Xenopus tropicalis: one gene and its partner. The protein of the gene in region 1 purifies or fractionates together with the protein of each later gene. This does not show direct contact. Links are inferred from orthologs where the notes say so. Each region holds a gene or a part of one and is shown in the gene's direction. Other genes may lie near its edges.

Region 1 (8,708 bases):
GTGGAGGTGCCAACTTCTAATATTTTATTCAGAATAGAACATAAATCACAGAACAAGTTTAAACTGAGGGAAAAATATGTTGATTCAGAATTTCATGGTGTCAACAAATCCCAAAAAAGTTGGGACAAGTAGCAATAAGAGGCTGGAAAAAGTAAATTTGAGCATAACGAAGAGCTGGAAGACCAAATAACACTAATTAGGTCAATTGGCAACATGATTGGGTATAAAAAAAGCTTCTCAGAGTGGCAGTGTCTCTCAGAAGCCAAGATGGGTAGATGATCACCAATTCCCACAATGTTGCGCAGAAAGATAGTGGAGCAATATCAGAAAGGTGTTACCCAGCGAAAAATTGCAAAGATTTTGTATCTATCATCATCAACTGTGCATAACATCATCCGAAGATTCAGAGAATCTGGAACAATCTCTGTTCGTAACGGTCAAGGCCGTAAAACCATACTGGATGCCGGGCCCTTAAACGACACTGCACCACAAACAGGAATGCTACTGTAAAGGAAATCACAGAATGGGCTCAGGAATACTTCCAGAAACCATTGTCAGTGAACACAATCCACCGTGCCATCCGCCGTTGCCAGCTGAAACTCTACAGTGCAAAGAAGAAGCCATTTCTAAGCAAGATCCAGAAGCTCAGGCGTTTTCACTGGGCCAGGGATCATTTAAAATGGAGTGTGGCAAAATGGAAGACTGTGGTCAGACGAGTCACGATTCGAAGTTCTTTTTGGAAATCTGGGACGCCATGTCATCCGGACCAAAGAGGACAAGGACAACCCAAGTTGTTATCAACGCTCAGTTCAGAAGCCTGCATCTCTGATGGTATGGGGTTGCATGAGTGCATGTGGCATGGGCAGCTTGCATGTCTGGAAAGGCAGTATCAATGCAGAAAAATATATTCAGTTTCTAGAACAACATATGCTCCCATCCAGACGTCATCTCTTTCAGGGAAGACCCTGCATTTTTCAACAAGATAATGCCAGACCACATTCTGCATCAATCACAACATCATGGCTGCGTAGGAGAAGGATCTGGGTACTGAAATGGCCAGTCTGCAGTCCAGATCTTTCACCTATAGAGAACATTTGGCGCATCATAAAGAGGAAGGTGCGACAAAGAAGGCCCAAGACGATTGAACAGTTAGAGGCCTGTATTAGACAAGAATGGGAGAGCATTCCTATTCCTAAACTTGAGAAACTGGTCTCCTCGGTCCCCAGACGTCTGTTGAGTGTTGTAAGAAGAAGGGGAGATGCCACACAGTGGTGAAAATGGCCTTGTCCCAACTTTTTTGGGATTTGTTGACACCGTGAAATTCTGAATCAACATATTTTTCCCTTAAAATGGTACATTTTCTCAGTTTAAACTTTTGTTCCGTGATTTTTATTGACCATTTGTTTAGTGTCCCAACTTTTTTGGAATCCGGTTTGTAGATGCTATGATTAAGTACATGTACTAACGGTGGCTTACAATTTGTATAGAAACATTTTTAATGTATTCAACTTTTGTTCTCCATCTGTGTGTATATCCTCTTGTTAAAAACGGGGTGCATCCAAGATAGTTTACTATATTCTGTGAAATAAATCATCATCATCAGTATTTATAAAGTAGCAGCAAGTTATAGCTGGAGCTGTTATTAGCTGTTGCTAATCTACCTCTTTTATTGTTCTGCCCTGTGTCTAGGTAAAATAATTTTTCAATACATGTCCTCCTTATTTAAACACTAATCCAGGCCTCCTCCTCATAGATAAAGAGAAGAAAAAGAAAAAAGAGGATCCTAAAGCCCGCAGCCCAGTCCTTGACAAGACCTTAGAAGCGAAATCTGAAGCTAAAGCAGAGGATGGTGGAGAAAAAAAAAAGGAGAAGCCCAAAACTCTGCGTACAACAGCCCCAAGTCATGCAAAATTTAGATCCACTGGTAAAGCAAACCACACCACATTTCTTGCATATTTCAATTCATCAACAGCTACTTGTCTGCTCTCATCTTTGTTAACTTGGTTACCACATATTAGTTCAGTTCCTCAAATGTAGTGTATATATTTTTTGTAATTTTTACCATTTCTGAATGAATATAAGCCATTATTGTTCATGCAGATTTCTATATTCTTGGGTTATTCTTTGAAAATGTCCCAGGTAATTTTTTAGTACCATGTTAAGCCAGTTGAAATAGTTATAGCGTAAAATGAGCTTTGAAGAAGAAACTGAATTGTTCTGAAAGTTTGCTGTGATTATCATCCTGGTTAGCCAATAAAGGTATCACCTTTACACCACAGTTTTGTTATGCCTTATATCAAACGTTCTGCCCTATAAGTGATAAACTGAAACTGATAAACACATTGGTATGACTATAAGGAACATGTCAACATAACTAATCATGCAGCACTGCACAACTTTTTTGTATCACATTTTGTCGCTAGCCCAGCAGCACTTACTACCTTTCAACACTTTAGCCAAGTGAGGAGAGCTGATTGTCTATTACTCTGGGTTCATTGTGGCATGATACTTCCAAAGGTTGAAATACTGTTTAAATTGGTAATTTAGTCAGTCGATAGCTGTCCGACCACATGGAAGAAGTTAAAATAATTTTAGAATCATTTGTTGTAGAGGAAAGCTTTTGTATAAGTGAAGTGGGGGATAGCACAGACATAGAGTTTGTTTTTTGTAAACAAAGGTTCACTGTTTTTTTAGGTCTTGAAGTAGAAGCTCCGTCACTTGTTCCTGTTAAGAAACCTACACCTGTTCCGGTCCTGTCTGACAAGTATTTGAAACCAGTTCCTGTAAAGAGACCGAGGTAGGAAAACCATATTTTTGTGAAAACTACTTGGTCTTTGCCAAATTAGTAGACATGATCAAGTTATTTACTTAGTCCATACACAAAGAGCAGTCCTGGTTCTGTTGTCCTTTAGACAGAGATGATGTGGCTTTTTGGAATTGTCTGTTAAAATTGAATTTGCTAAGGTGAAAAAGTAATCTTAGCAGGAGATAGGTGAACAAATGCTGGCAAAAGTGGAGCTGCCTATGTCACTGAAAATAGGGGGCACAGACAGCCATGCCTCTTCTTGCTTACTTTTTCAGCTCCTGCTTTATATTTAAATTTGTTCAGCAGTGGCCTCCAAATAGGACATGAGCATGCTGTTTGTGTATATACTGGCACAAAAATCGGGATCAGGAAGCACATTCTGGCTTAAGAGAATTAAGTGGTTCCCACTTTGCACAGGACATTTTTGTTACAGAAGCAGAGGTACTGAATGCTGGGAGGGTGGAGACAGGGTTGCAGAGAGCATGGGGTTGGGGGGCTAAGGTCAGAGAAGCCAAGTAGGGCAGTGTGTGTGATGGCTGGTGGGGTTTGCCTTGGGCACTCTTACATGTTGGCCTGGCCCTGAATGCTGGCAAAAAAGCAAAGCTGTGATAAGTTAGAAACCAGGGAAGCTACAGACTAAACATTAAGATTGGAAGATTATACTGGCAATGAAAACATGTGGAACAATAATTTCCTACGGGATATGCAGTAACATGAAAAATTAAGAAAAGGCATGTGATAATATTGAAGTAACAGAAATGATATTGGTATGGCCATAAATATTGGTTGATAAACTTGCCATAATGAGTGCTTTTACTGGTTTTAGAATACCAGCTGTAGAAAATCTTTTAAAAAGCACTGAATGGCCCTGCAAAACGGATGCTGTATTAAATTTCCTTTGCAGTTTAACAGCTTGTATCATGATTGCTTAACGAGTTGTTGATTAGTTTTTAACACCATTTTTTGCTTTCTTAGTTCAGTTCCAGTTCCTGGTGATGCAGCTCCAGCAGAGAAAAAATACAAACCTCTGAACACAGTTCCTAACACTACTAAAGAAATTAAGGTCAAGATAATTCCACCACAGCGTAAGTTCTTTTTAAATCTGTTTACTTGTGCCATTACCTTTACCCTAGCTATCATACCACTGACTCTACATGTGCTCTTCCTTTAAATTTAAAAACTCTGTACCATCACCTCAATTCTAATCAGACTTTTAACAGGCCATTGTACAGATTATCATCATTATTAAAAAAAGAAAACTATATTTAACTGCACTTTTTTCTATTTTAATTTGCAGCCATGGAGAGTTTGGGATTTTTAGATGCATTAAATTCAGCCCCTGTTCCTGGAATAAAAATCAAGAAGAAAAAGAAGGGTAGTTCACCTACTGGTAATAAGGTATGTAACTAAAAAAAAATTCTGGTAGCCTCGGTTATCCATCTGATTTTAAGTAAACAATATAACAAACACCTAGTACCTTCTTTCCACTGATTTAATAGATGGTTACACCAGGGAACCTTATCATGCCTATGAATTTACAGCTTTTCTAATGTAGAATAATGTGCACTGTCTTTTCCAAAAGCCCAGTCCGTTTGATAGCAAGTGCCCAGCTGAAGGAAGTAGTATCGCCAAACCTTCATCGCCTGAGCCAGAGCCCCCAGTAGAAGGAATGGAAGTGGAGCGTCCAGGAACACCAGTTCCAGCTGTTGAACTCCCAGAGCCCATGGAAAGTAAGACTCTGTTTTATCTCAATGTTGGCATTTTACTTCTCCTTTTGCAATTATTTTGTTCTTTACAATCTAATTGATTTTTTACAGCTTCTGCATCAACACCACCTCCTCCTGTGCCCTCTGAAACCAAGCCTACTGAAGCTGATGCTTCTCAGTTGACCAAGAAAGGGAAGAAAAGGAAAACAGTCAGTTGGCCTGAAGAGAGCCGCCTCAGGGAATACTTCTATTTTGAGCTGGATGAAACTGAGAGAGGTTAGTGCTGTTCTCTTAATGAGATATTGTTTCCACTGTTAAGTAATCTCACAAGCACAACTTTTTTTTAGTATATACAGTAAGATGAACAAGTCTACAGTGTCTTTGATATTGATATTTGTACTCTTGAAAAAGAGAGCAGTTTACATCATGGTATCCATTAATACTAATGTATTGGGCCTTAAAAATAAAAACACCTTTATGCTTTTCCAGTCAATGTAAACAAGATTAAAGACTTTGGTGAAGCAGCAAAGCGGGAGATGTTAAAGGACCGGCAAGCTTTTCAAAACGCACGTCGCCTTAGTCATGATAATATGGAGGAGACCATTCCTTGGGTACCACCTCGGCTTCTCAATCTTCCTGGGGCTTTGGTGCAAATGGGAAGTAACAGCACAGAAAAGCACACACAGGCAGAAAGAGAAATGGGTATTCTCCAGGAGATCTTTCTGTCTAAGGAGAGGTGAGAATGGCAAATGCAATTTTTGTCTACATCCTTTATACAAAAGTTTAATCGCTGTTGTATAAAATAAATAAATGATTGTGAAATGTTTTCCTTCATTTTTTTCTGAATGGCAGACAGTAATTTTTTAAACAAATACATCTTGTTTATCTGTTTGCTGCAGTGTTCCTGATACACCCCATGAACCTGACCCTGAATCATATGAACCATCACCTCCTAAACTTATACCTCTAGATGAGGTAAGTTATTACAGACTAAGATAATTCTAGTGTAAGCTTAATGTCTGGTTTAGGTACTGGATAAAATCATGGAGTATGCCAAAAGTATTAAGGAGGCACCTCACATTTTAACATGTTTCCTTCTTTTTCCTTTTTATTTTAGGATTGCTCAATGGATGATGCTGTTTACCCTGAACCCATGGACCAGAGCCTTGCATCTCAGTCTCCAGACTTATCAGGTGGAGCAAAACTTCCACCTGTCCTTGCTAACCTAATGGGAAGCATGGGAAGTTCCAAAACACAACCTAACCCTTTGCCAGGAACTATGCAGGAAATACTGACATCCATAATGGTGAGCAGTCCAATAATATAGCTGCATTCAATGTGTTATCTTTATCAGCATATGTGAGATAGCAACTTGGCCATCTTGGGATTTAGCTTCTGTTTATACCAGTATAATGGTACTGACACTGCATTTCAGGAGTTTTGTATAGAATATGTTGTGGGAACATCTGCATTGCATATTTAAGCTAAAACTGCATTCATGTAACATAGCAAGTAAGTTAGGTTGAAAAAAGACAGTCCATCACATTCAACCACAATGCCTTATATATAACCTGCCTAACTGCTAATTGATCCAGAGGAAGGCAAAAAAAACCCATCTGAAGCCTCTCTAATTTGCCGCAGAGGGGAAAAAAAAATTTTCGGACCTGTCCCTGGATCAACTTTGTACTACAGCTATCTCCCATAACCCTGTATTCCCTCACTTGCTAAGATCTCATCCAAGCTATATAATGTATTTGGGGAGGGAATTCCACACCTTCACAGCTCTCATAGTAACAAAATCCTTTCCGAATATTTAAACAGAACCTCCATTCTTCTAAACAGAGTGGGTGCCCTCATGTCAGTTGGAAGGACCAACTGGCAAATAAAGCATTAGAGAGGTTATTATATTATCCCCTTATATATTTATACATAATTATCACATCACCTCTTAAGCGCCTCTTCTCCAGTGTAAACAGACCCAACTTGGCCAGTCTTTCTTCAGTTGCCCTTCTCTGGACCCTCTCTGATTCAATAATGTCCCGTTTGAGCACTGGAGACCAAAACTGAACAGCATATTCTAGATGGGGCCTTACCAGCGTTCTATAAAGGGGAAGAATAACACCCCCCTCCAGTAAATCTATACTCCTTTTAATACAGCTCAAAACCTTGTTTGCCCTTGCAGCTGCTGCCTGGCATTGCTTGCTACAGCCAAGTTTATTATCTACAAGGACTCCAAGGTCCTTCTCCATTATGGATTTGCCTAGTGCAGTCCCATTAAGGGTATATTTTTACATCCCAGGTGCATGAACTTACATTTATCCACATTAAATCTCATCTGCCACTTAGCTGCCCAGATTGCCAGGTTGTCAAGATCCTGCTGCAAAGATGCCAGATCCTGATTAGAATTGACTGGTCTGCAGAGTTTTGTGTCATCTGCAAACACTGATACATTGCTTATAATACCCTCCCCTAAGTCATTTATGAACAAGTTAAACAAAAGTGGACCTAGTAAAGAACCCTGAGGGACCCCACTGAGAACCTTACTCCCAGTAGAGAATGTTTCATTAACCGCCACCCTCTTTACCCGATCCTGTGGCCAGTTTTCTATTCATGTGCAAACGACTTCACGAAGACCAACAGACCTTAGTTTAGAAAGCAGTTGTTTGTGGGTGCTTTGGTAAAATCCAAATAGATCACATCTACTGCACCCCCACTGTCCAGCTTCTTACTAACCTCATCATAAAAAGCAATTAAATTGGTCTAACATGACCTGTCCTTCATAAAGCCATGCTGATTACTGCTCATAATGCCATTCTCGAGTACATAATTTTGTATGTCATCCCTTAACAAGCCCTCAAATAACTTGCCCACTACGGATGTCAAACTTACTGGCCTATAATTGCCAGGCTGAGATCTTACTCCCTTTTTAAATATAGGAATGAAATTAGCCTTTTTCCAATCCATAGGTATCTATACCAGATGAAAGAGAGTCTGACAACACCAGAAACAGAGGCCACTGTAAAACTAGCCCCTAGCTCTCTCAGTACCCGAGGGTATGTTCCATCTGGCCCAGGTGCCTTGTTCACGTTAATCTTGTGTAACCCTTTATGCACCAAATCCTCCGTCAACCACTGTGTAGTTGGAGCTGAGGCAACAGTGCAGCTATTGGGTGGGACTTGGCACTCTGGCTCCTCTACTGTGTACACAGAAGAAAAGAACTGGTGTTTTGCACATCTGCCTTTTCTGTATCCACTGTAACAATATTGTTACTATAAATCAATGGGGCCACACCCTCAACTTGCATCTTTTTACTATTAATGCACTCCTCATTTTCAATTTTTGCCTTCCAAATTGCTGTTTTACAACACTTTTATAGTGTTTATATTCATTAAATGCAGTTTCTGTGCCCTCTGAATTTCTTAAAAGCTTTCCCTTTTTCCCTATTAACTTCTGTACCTCAGAATTAAGCCACATAGGGTGATTATTAACACTTCTACATTTTCTTATTAATGGAATAAATTGAGAACAGTAATGATTTAATATCATTTTAAATGACAACCATTTCTGCCCCAATCTATGCTCTGAATCACTGGAACTAAAACTTGCTTTTCTAAACTTTAGGGTCTTTGTTGCCCCAGCGTATATTTGTTTCCTGCACCAAACCTTAAATGAAATAACGTTATGGTCACTAATACCCACAGGTTCAACCCCTTGATATGGTGTGAAATGTGTTTTGTTTTTTGTTTTTTTAAAAATTGGTAACTCCTAATTTTATGTATTGCTTCTTTTTACTTGTAGGGTGCCCAAGGTAATGCAAAACCAGAGGACCTAATGAAGCAGCCAGATTTTTCAGACAAGATCAAGCAACTACTGGGCTCTTTGCAGAATCAAAATCAGAACCAAGGTCCACCAGGGCCAGGTAAGTCTATGAACAATGGGGCTCACAGACTAGTTTCTGATTTTAGTTCTGTATGCAGTGACTCTCTGTGCTTAAATGGGTAACCCCCATGTACTTTTGAAGGGCATTTGGACCCTGATAAAATTGACCATTGTGTGTGTGTGTGTGTGTGTGTGTGTGTGAAAATGCAATAAAGCCTAAGATTGTAAACAAGCCTGTACTGATTTGAATTTTATACAATCTCTTCAAATCATTCCGGAATTTTATAGTGTTATGTAAATAAAGAATAATCTTTTTT
Region 2 (9,203 bases), on another chromosome or scaffold:
CATGAACTGGCTGAAACCTCTTATCTGTAAACTGAAGAAGCAGACAAGATTTTCCCACACCTATGAAAAAAATGAAATGTAAGTATGTATACAAACACTACAAATAGTAGAAATTATATACATATATACACGCTGGTACAAACACCATAGGGGTCACTTATGCTAAACGCATATGCTATTTGTGCTAATGTGTAAAAATGTACACATTCATATAGTGATTTAGCCATGTGCATAATGGCTGCATTCTGTGTCCTTGCACTGGCTGCAATGTTGTTAGCAGGGAGACCTGCATTTAAAACTTGTGTGGCAGACAGCAAGTGCAAGTGTCAGAAACACAACCTTGCATCAATAATGGCAGTAGAGGGTGTAAAGGTGGGGGTACCAGGTGCACTGTGAGCAAAAACACAGAACTTTGCACATTCACTCGTTTGGTAAGCACTTGTATAATAACCAGCACACATTTATAACACTGAACCAGATTATATTAAAAAGCAAAATTGTATTGTACCGATATGTGCTCAACGGGTCGAAACCAGAGGAAATGCACTTCGTGCATTATAACATTTTATATATGTACACATTACACAAACAGTTAGCAAGCAAACATTGTTCTATACCCTGAAAAGATGATGCCTCCTTCCATATCAAACAATAAATGACCTCAAAGAGGTGCCTACTGTGCATGCATTATTGATTTAAACTGAAGCAGGCGCAGTGAGCATGCCCAGTATAGGTCTGCATAATCTGCTAAAGAAGGAGTGCTCAATAAGGGAAAGGGGGCAGAGTTTTATGCAAGACAAGGCAGTCGGTAAAGGGATACAGTTCAGCTGCTTGTAATAGAGCAACAAAATAAATCTGCATGCAGAGCGAAAGGTATGTTATTCTGGGGGCTGTAATTTTAGAGGCTATGACATAAAGCTACTTGTCACAGCTACAAATCACCAGAAAATACCCTGCCATAGACAATACTGAAAATTTTCTCTGCTAAAACACACGTAGAGACAATTATCAGTATTGCCTATATTGTAGCCACGCCAAATAGCTGGCTAAAAGTAGCTCTGTGGGTCACTGCCCTAACAGAGTGTGACACTGAGCTGTATCCAGTTTGGATTTACCACCCAACTGGCATTCAGCAAAATAAATATATCTGCAAACAAATTACTATTATTATTTTACTTTGGGTGGTAATAGATTAGAACTATAGTTTTCTCCACTTCTAATTACCTGCTAGCAGGTAGCATTCACTCATCTGCTGTTGTAAAGCAAACATCTATACCTGCAGGAAACATTGTACCTGCTATTACATTAACCTCTTTAGTCTTCAGCTACAGTGTATCACCTGGCAGGCATGAAGTTGTGGTTGTTCTCAGAATTAATAGCTGCATGAAGCTGCTGTTTCAGTTACTTCTAATATGGCTGCATTGAGGAGGCCTTCTAAGGATTTACTCCAGCTGAGAGGCCAGCTCACAGATATTGAGTTCCTGTTTGCCTTGCTGCTTTTACCTAGCTGCCTGAAGGTTCAATACACCACTATAAAACTGACTGGTTAATAAGCACACAGAAAATCAAACTTTCCAGTTTAGTATTTCACCTAACTCTCTCCCTACTAACCATATTCCTCAACTTTAGATTAGGAAAACATTTCTAACAACCCCATTTGCCCACCAACCAAAACTAACGCCCCTGCTTATTGCACTTCACCTTAGTAACACACGTTACAAACCCCTTTATTGTCTTATGCACAGCCTATTTAATTAAAATGTCATACTTTCTTCCTATAAAAAAAATTAATTTCACAGAACCATCATGGAGGCTTATAGTCCCTGGTACAATATCTGTATCTCTCCTTGTATCTCAGGCCACTGGTTCCCTCAGTCTTTACCAGGTTTTTAATAGCATCATCACTCCCTTTGTCTGAAATTTACCTTGGCTTTTGTGCACTGTTTTTATTTTTTGGAGGGGTGGAAGATTTCCTAAACACTTGAAAATCACTGCAGCTATCACATTCATCTATGTACTTATTTGATTGCATGCAAATATGTAATAAGGGTAGATATGGGGGAATAGCAAAGAGATATAAAAATCAGATATGCTAAAAGCATCATTTTTTTACTTTTCTGCAGTACCATGCACTAGGTTATTATACAGTAAGGAGGCCTTAGTCTGCTACACCACAGATTAAGGAGAACCTGGAGATACTACTATACATGCACATAGCGTAAAATAATTTCATTGCCACTTATAAAAACTAAAGACAGTGATTAAAGAGAAAATCCACAAAACTGTTTTTACAAAATGAAAGGAGTTGTAATTCCAAGCATTACCTCAACCTATATGGATTAAAAGATTACATTTGCAAATAACATCAAAACCAGTGAAATCACTACTGAAGGCAATATGTGTTTATCCTTTTCTGTTCTCTGATTCTTATTCCTGCAACCATGTAGCAGAGGTGAGTTCCCCTCCAGGGGTGTTAATCAGCTGGCTTCTGCAATCAGGCCAGCAAGGCAGAAAGAGTTGGATAATACTGCTTTCATAAGCTACTATTTAAAACCATACAAAAAAAGTATTCTATGTTTATTGAAAAGCTGCATTGCATTTTCTGTCTTTATTCAAAACAAAAACAGTTTTTTTTCGAGTTCACCTTTAAATTATTATTTAGCCAACCTATCATGTGTTACTCTGTTTCTATAAAGTTAAACTGTAGGAAATACGGCTCTTAATGTAATAAAATGCATTGTATTGCATTATCACTAACATGAAATATGTGCACTCTTTCTGATTATTCATGGAGAAAATATGGGGCTCTGGCAACTCAGCTTTAAAACTACCCATCACTGTTATAAGTGATACACAAATTGCAATGTGCCTCTATAATATTTAATGATGTGGCTCCTAACATTACCTGTATAAATACAAAGATATATACATATACACAAATCTGTAATTGCATACAAATTTGAAAAACATCTGCAAAACAGAACACCAAGAGCTGCTATTTAAAAATAATATATTATTGTACATAAACTCGGAATATTCTCATTTTATGCTAGCATATGCATGATTTTATATTTAATACACAAAATAAAATTAAAAAGCATCAAGGTTACAAGAGCATAATAATAGCACCCAATATTCGTAAACCGATAGATAAAATCATTTAAAATACGTACGCACCTGTATCACCAATAATGATATACTTGAAGAGGTAGGCATACGACATGATGGCAATCGTCAGAGCCACCAAGGCAGGTGATTACGGGGAGGAGGCTTCCTTTGAACTGCCTTACTCTAACTAGAGCTCCCAGAGAGACGTTCTTGCCACGCAGTCTCATCTCTATTGCTTCCGGAAAAGACTCTCTATCTGGTGTACGGCTTGTAGCGACGTTCTTTACTAAGCCGGATGTTCGCTCTTTTGTATTCGATACGTGTAGCATTCTAATGAATAGTCTCTATGGCTGCCTCACATCCTATTGTTATACTATAGGAGGAATGAGTAGCAGCATTACTGTACCAATATGGCTTCGCTGCTTTTACCGGAAGCGGATGTCTCGCCATCTTTGTAGAGGCGGGGAAGTGTGCTTGAAAAGAAGAAGAGTCTCAGGCCGTGAAAATGGAGGTGAGTTGGGTAAATTACGTATTTTATTGTGTTAGTTTCGGTTTTAACGCGGTATACAGCTAGTTTGATTCCGTATGCGTGTTGGTGGTGATTTTCAAAACGCAGATTATGTGGGCCATTAGAGCAGGTTAATGAAGTGGCGAGAAGGGAACTATAGTTCCTGCGGATCAAACACAGAAAACGTGTAGCATTTAAAGATCGTACAATGTAGTTGTTATTATGTCGCGGTGCGTCAAGTATCTCTAATCCCCTGGTGCCAATACTTATAGTTTCTTCAGAACGTGTTGTGTTGGGGGTTTCGTTTCAGTGGTAACAGGTTCCTGTCAATTGAATATTTATATTGGCTATGGGGTTGTGGATAAGTAATGTGTTTCTTTGAGAGTGATGTGCCTGATAGAAGACTTGCATTCCTTGTACTGTGAATTGAAATTACTATTATTATTTGTATCTGTGGTGAAACAGCTTGTTTACTGCCAGCATTAACATGGAAGCTTCTATTTGTTATTGTCTGTGTCACTAATAGTAAAATGTTATAGAGATGAATGCTGTTATTCAGAAGCCAGAGAAGGGTCATTTGTGGTTTATTTACTTTTATATGGCAAGATGCTGTAATAGATCAGTTACATGTTCTTTCTTCACTCACTGGACAGTGGTTGTTTGAGTTTCTTAGTTCATGCATGAGATCTAACTTGGCCAGAGCGCCCCTTAGTTCATAATAAGGTTACAGATACATGAAAGCAAAGGAGCCCCCCCCCTCTGCAGCAGCAGCCTCAGAAGTGTTTGCATAATTAGCAGCAATGTTTCTGTGATTAATAAAATATTGCTTTTATATAATTATTGAATGCTGTAACAGTTGTCATTGTAACTTGTTTTAATAGGAGGCAGTGCAGCATTTTATTTCACAGGAAAATTCTTTGGTCTTTTCATACAAGCAGAGTGCTAACCATTGATCAGAGCAAAAATATAGAGAAATTATACCTTTAGTTAGCTAACTTAGACATGAAGTGAAAAATGGAATAAAGAAAAGGGTGTGATCAATTTAAAGGGGAATCTCTCCAACTTTTGTTGCATAATGAAAGATGTTAAACATTTCACTATACATTAATTAAACATTTTCAATTAATTTAAAGCTATTTGTAAATGTAATTACAATTGAAAGCAAAAGCAGCAGTGCAGAAAACAGACAGATTCTGCTTTTAATAGCAAGTACTTTGTAAATAACTCTGATGTGATTCATAATGCGTATTTAAAAATTGCTTTTGTTGTTCCAAAAAAGGGTGACTTCCCTTAAAATACAATTTTTTTTTTTCCCTCAAGTTAATGCAGTGAAGTATGAGAGCACTTAGGCTCCTGCCACACGGGGTGGATTCTCTGCTTGCACACAGAGTGGATTTCCACACGTAACTGCATACTTGCAGTTTTTGTAGGGAAATCCGGTGCCTGTGGACTGATGCGATTACAGGTGCATGCACGTCCATAAGCTTCTTGAAGCGTACGGGCGAATTCTCTGCCTCTGCCATTTATCTGCAGGCTAAGAAGCCGCCCTGTAGTGACCAAAAAGTGTATTTTTGGTCATGGGAAAAGATAAGGGGTCTTTCTGTAATTTGGGTCTCTATACCGTAAGCCTACTAAAAATAATTTAAATATTAAATAAACCCTATAGGATTGTTTTGCCTCCAATAAGGATTAATTATATCTTAGTAAGGAACAAGTACAAGGTACTGTTTTATTGTTACAGAGAAAAATGAAATAATTCTAATTTTTAAAAATGATTTGCTCATAATGCAGTCTGTGAGATGGCCTTCACGTAATTTGGAACTTTCTACATAACGGGTTTCTGTATAAAAGATCCCATGTATCTGCCCTCTTGTTATGAGCTGAGGGGTCCTGGCTAAATGTTAGACCACAAAATGAAAAAATTTAAGAATTTGCATGATTTGAGGATCAATAGACTTTGTGTTGGTGATGCCTCTTTCCTTCGGGAGAAAAAACCTTGTTGTGGTTTGCCTGTTTCGTGAACTGAGTGCCTATCTTTGTGTTGGCTTTGTGGTTTTGTTTGGCACCATGAAATTGGGACCTACCATTGAGTGCTTAACGCCTCAGATAGACCAGCGGTCCTTAGTGTCACATAATTATGGGGCACATTCATGAAAACGTGAGTTCGAATCCCAAATGGGATAAATTCGGATTGGATACGATCATTTCTGAAGATCGCAAATATCACAAATATGCTTACGGAAAAATCATATTAGTCATGATAATATCGTATTGGCAATTCGAAAGTCACGAAATTTTCGTACTGAGCGATTGTAAACAGCAGGAAAATTAGATGAAAATATGCTCAGAGCGTTTGAATGAACGCTCCGAGCGTTTGTGTCTTGGTAAATCTGCCCCTATGTATTTACCTGATCTTTGCATTACACAGCTTGCATTAATGTTGTGCTCCTCAAAACATAGACTGTTTCATTCAACTATAATGTAGGCTTCATATGGTTTGCAAATTGTGGTGTTTGTTGTTGGGTGTTGTGTTACTAGGTAGTGAAAGGTTTTGCTTCCCACAGACTCATCAGAATCTAACCTGTAGCTTTCTTGCTGTGCAACTCTCAACCTTTCTTCAGTCATTAGCTTTGGGATAGTTGATGCTATAGTTCAATCTGTGCTTGAGGTCATTATCCCTTGTGTAACTGAAGTGTTGTGTGCTCTGTAGGGGGCTAGCTCTTCGACTCATGGACCTACACCTATTTTCTGGTTTGGACACAGATGGCAGTGATGGGGGCCTCCCTGGCCACCACATGCTATTTACAGGAGATGAGGGAGCTCCATGCTCCATTGATATGCCAGGTTTGCTCCACTCTCAGCCTCTCTATGGAGTGTATGGGTATAGCAAGGTGAGACACACTAACAAAATGTGGGTGCTACAGCATTGCTAAGATGTATTATATAAGATTGTTTTATTCTATATGTAAAAAGTATTAGTATTATTAAATGCATGTTTTAAGTGCTCAAATTTCCAGTATGTTGGTAATATTTCTTCATCAATAACTGATTTTATGTGTGTAACAAAAAATTGCAGACCAGTTGTTGACAAGCACTACAAAAACACTTCAAATTAAGGTTTGAGAGTCACAGCTTTATATGCACATCTTATTTGCATTTTAGATAACATGATATGCACAAAGTTTCTTCTAAAAATCCTTTAGGGTAAGGACCCATGGAGCGGTTTCGTCGCCTGACTTCTATTGTTGCTGGTGGAAAGCTATTTCAGAGAGGATTGTTGCCCATGATAGCAGAGATCTATCACAGGCGACTGAACCTCTGTGGGTTCTTACCCTAAGGTTGAGGTTAATTTACCCAAAATGTTCTGTATGGACAGCGTTTATGTCATGGTACTATAGAACTGCAGGCTGCAGGCAGATAAGGATGATAAAGGAATACTGTCATGGGAAAACATGTTTTTTTTCAAAATGCATCTGTTAATAGAGCTTCTCCAGCAGAATCCTGCATTGAAATCCGTTTTTCAAAAACACAAACTTTTTTTATATTTAATTTTTAAGTTTTACATTGGGCTAGCCATATTCTTCATTTCCCAGAGTGCCACAGCCATGTGACCTGTGCTCTGATAAACTTCAGTCACACTTTACTGCTTAGCTGCTAGTTGGAGTGATATAACCCCCCTCCCAGCAGCCGATCAACAGAAAAATGGGAAGGTAGTAAGATAGCAGCTCCCAGTAGATATCAGAGTAGCACTCAATAGTTAGAAATACAAGTCTGGCTTGGGACTCCTCCAGTTACATGGGAGTAGGAGAAACAATAGGTTATCTGAAAGCAGTTCTAATGTGTAGCGCTGGCTCCTTCTGAAAACTCAGACTCAGGCACAATGCACTGAGATGACTGCCTACATGCCTATATTACAACTAGAAAAAAATACATTTGTTGGTTCAAGAATAACATTTTAAATGATAGTGAATTATTTGCTATGTAAAATTATTTTATTTTAATTTAAAAATAAAAAAGTACCATACCATAAAAATCATGACAAAATCCCTTTAAGCTTAGTCATTCTTTGCTCTGTAAGGTTGGTTTGTATAGGTCTACATTTACCCTCACAAAAGCCGGAGTAGCTGGATGCAAATTTGGCACATAATAAGGACTGCAGTTCACTCCTGTAGGAATGTGGAGGAAGTGCCACGGAATGTAAAAATTCAGCTGGATCTGAGACTGGCAGGGCAGGAATGCCTGGCATACATCTTGCAAAGATAAGAAGGCATATACAAAGCTGCATCTTTATCATGAACGGAGGAGACATTACAGATGAGAGAGTGCTGCTTGATCTTTTGTATATTCTTTGTTGTAATACCTTGTACTTTTATTGTGCAAACTGCATCTTATTTCAGGTACCAAGAAGGGTAGGACATGACATGCTGTTAACAGGTGCCCATTGTATTTTACAGCTTTCAAAAATGTTTATATAGAACTATGAAAAAGGTTCAGTTGCACAGAAGGTTTGGAATAGGCACATACTTTAAAAATCCTTTATTTTCTCCTTATTATGTTTTCTCTTTCTGACTTGCAGTTTCCGGGGAGCAGCGACAATTACCTTACAATCACAGGGCCAGGACACCCTTTTCTTACAGGGACAGAGGTATGTGAAATGATGTAGGATAAAGTCTACTGAATGGTGTTGACCTTGTTGGAATTTGCAGAAGGAACAATGTTGTAAGCTTTATGATTTGATCAAATAGGTATAAGCATATAAATATGAGGATTTTCACAAGAATTCCAAAAGATTGGTTTCTGATTTTGTCCCAGTGCCGTTGCTAACACAGCAAGAAAAATAGGCAATTATTTAACTGGTGTATCTCAAATGTACATTTTTAGGAAGATTAGAGATGTTCTGCTTTGTAATGCCTGACTGTTGGACCCTCCTTGCATTTTCATACCCTAAATCTAGTTAGTTTGCAGCATTTGCAGACCTGCAAGATGAAACAATATCTTTCTGCTAGTGAAATTTTACTCCGTTAACTCTTTGTCCATCTTTGAAACATAACCCATTTTGTCGGCTCGCAATTATTTTTTTAAATTATCTCTTTGCAGACTTTTCACACACCCAGCCTTGGGGATGAGGAGTTTGAGATTCCACCCATCTCTCTGGATTCTGATCCCTCCTTGGCTGTATCTGATGTAGTTGGTCACTTTGATGACCTTGGAGACCCTTCTGGAGTGCAGGATGAGGGTTTTGCTACACAATATGGTGTACAGACTTTGGACATGCCGGTTGAGATGACCCATGAAGTGATGGACCAAACTGGAGGGCTCCTTGGAGCTGGATTGGCTATGGTAAGGGTTTCCTGTCATTGCGCCAAATAAATTAACTAGAGAGGGGCACATTTACTCATGTAGATGCAAAACTACACCTGAGGACTAACTGATATCTTCACAAGCAAAAGGTTTAACTGCAAGGTTACACTATTACTAAGCTTGCCCTAAACAGTACTTATTTATTCATGAGGTGATATGGTGGTATTCTGTCTTAATAAGCTTAGGTATGCTACAGATATCACTGGAGGGAGTAATCTTGAGAGAG

The links.
Region 2: the proteins of ppp1r10 (region 1) and tox4 purify together in Homo sapiens (affinity purification with mass spectrometry; 3 studies listed by BioGRID and IntAct, counting the BioPlex papers as one, with this or other methods). This does not show direct contact. The link is inferred for Xenopus tropicalis from reciprocal best matches to the Homo sapiens genes PPP1R10 and TOX4.

The regions. Positions count from the first base shown.
Region 1 is NC_030684.2:75,436,534-75,445,241, reverse strand, and holds part of ppp1r10 (serine/threonine-protein phosphatase 1 regulatory subunit 10), read left to right. Parts: intron 1-1,738; coding exon 1,739-1,924; intron 1,925-2,694; coding exon 2,695-2,797; intron 2,798-3,781; coding exon 3,782-3,891; intron 3,892-4,103; coding exon 4,104-4,204; intron 4,205-4,388; coding exon 4,389-4,536; intron 4,537-4,623; coding exon 4,624-4,788; intron 4,789-5,001; coding exon 5,002-5,248; intron 5,249-5,411; coding exon 5,412-5,487; intron 5,488-5,629; coding exon 5,630-5,818; intron 5,819-8,310; coding exon 8,311-8,431; intron 8,432-8,708.
Region 2 is NC_030677.2:141,988,011-141,997,213, reverse strand, and holds the start of tox4 (TOX high mobility group box family member 4), read left to right. Parts: upstream 1-3,823; 5' UTR 3,824-3,838; coding exon 3,839-3,846; intron 3,847-6,326; coding exon 6,327-6,507; intron 6,508-8,192; coding exon 8,193-8,261; intron 8,262-8,713; coding exon 8,714-8,956; intron 8,957-9,203. Other genes in the region: rab2b (ras-related protein Rab-2B), read right to left, coding at 1-60, 3,178-3,223. UniProt on the Homo sapiens protein: Transcription factor that modulates cell fate reprogramming from the somatic state to the pluripotent and neuronal fate. In liver, controls the expression of hormone-regulated gluconeogenic genes such as G6PC1 and PCK1.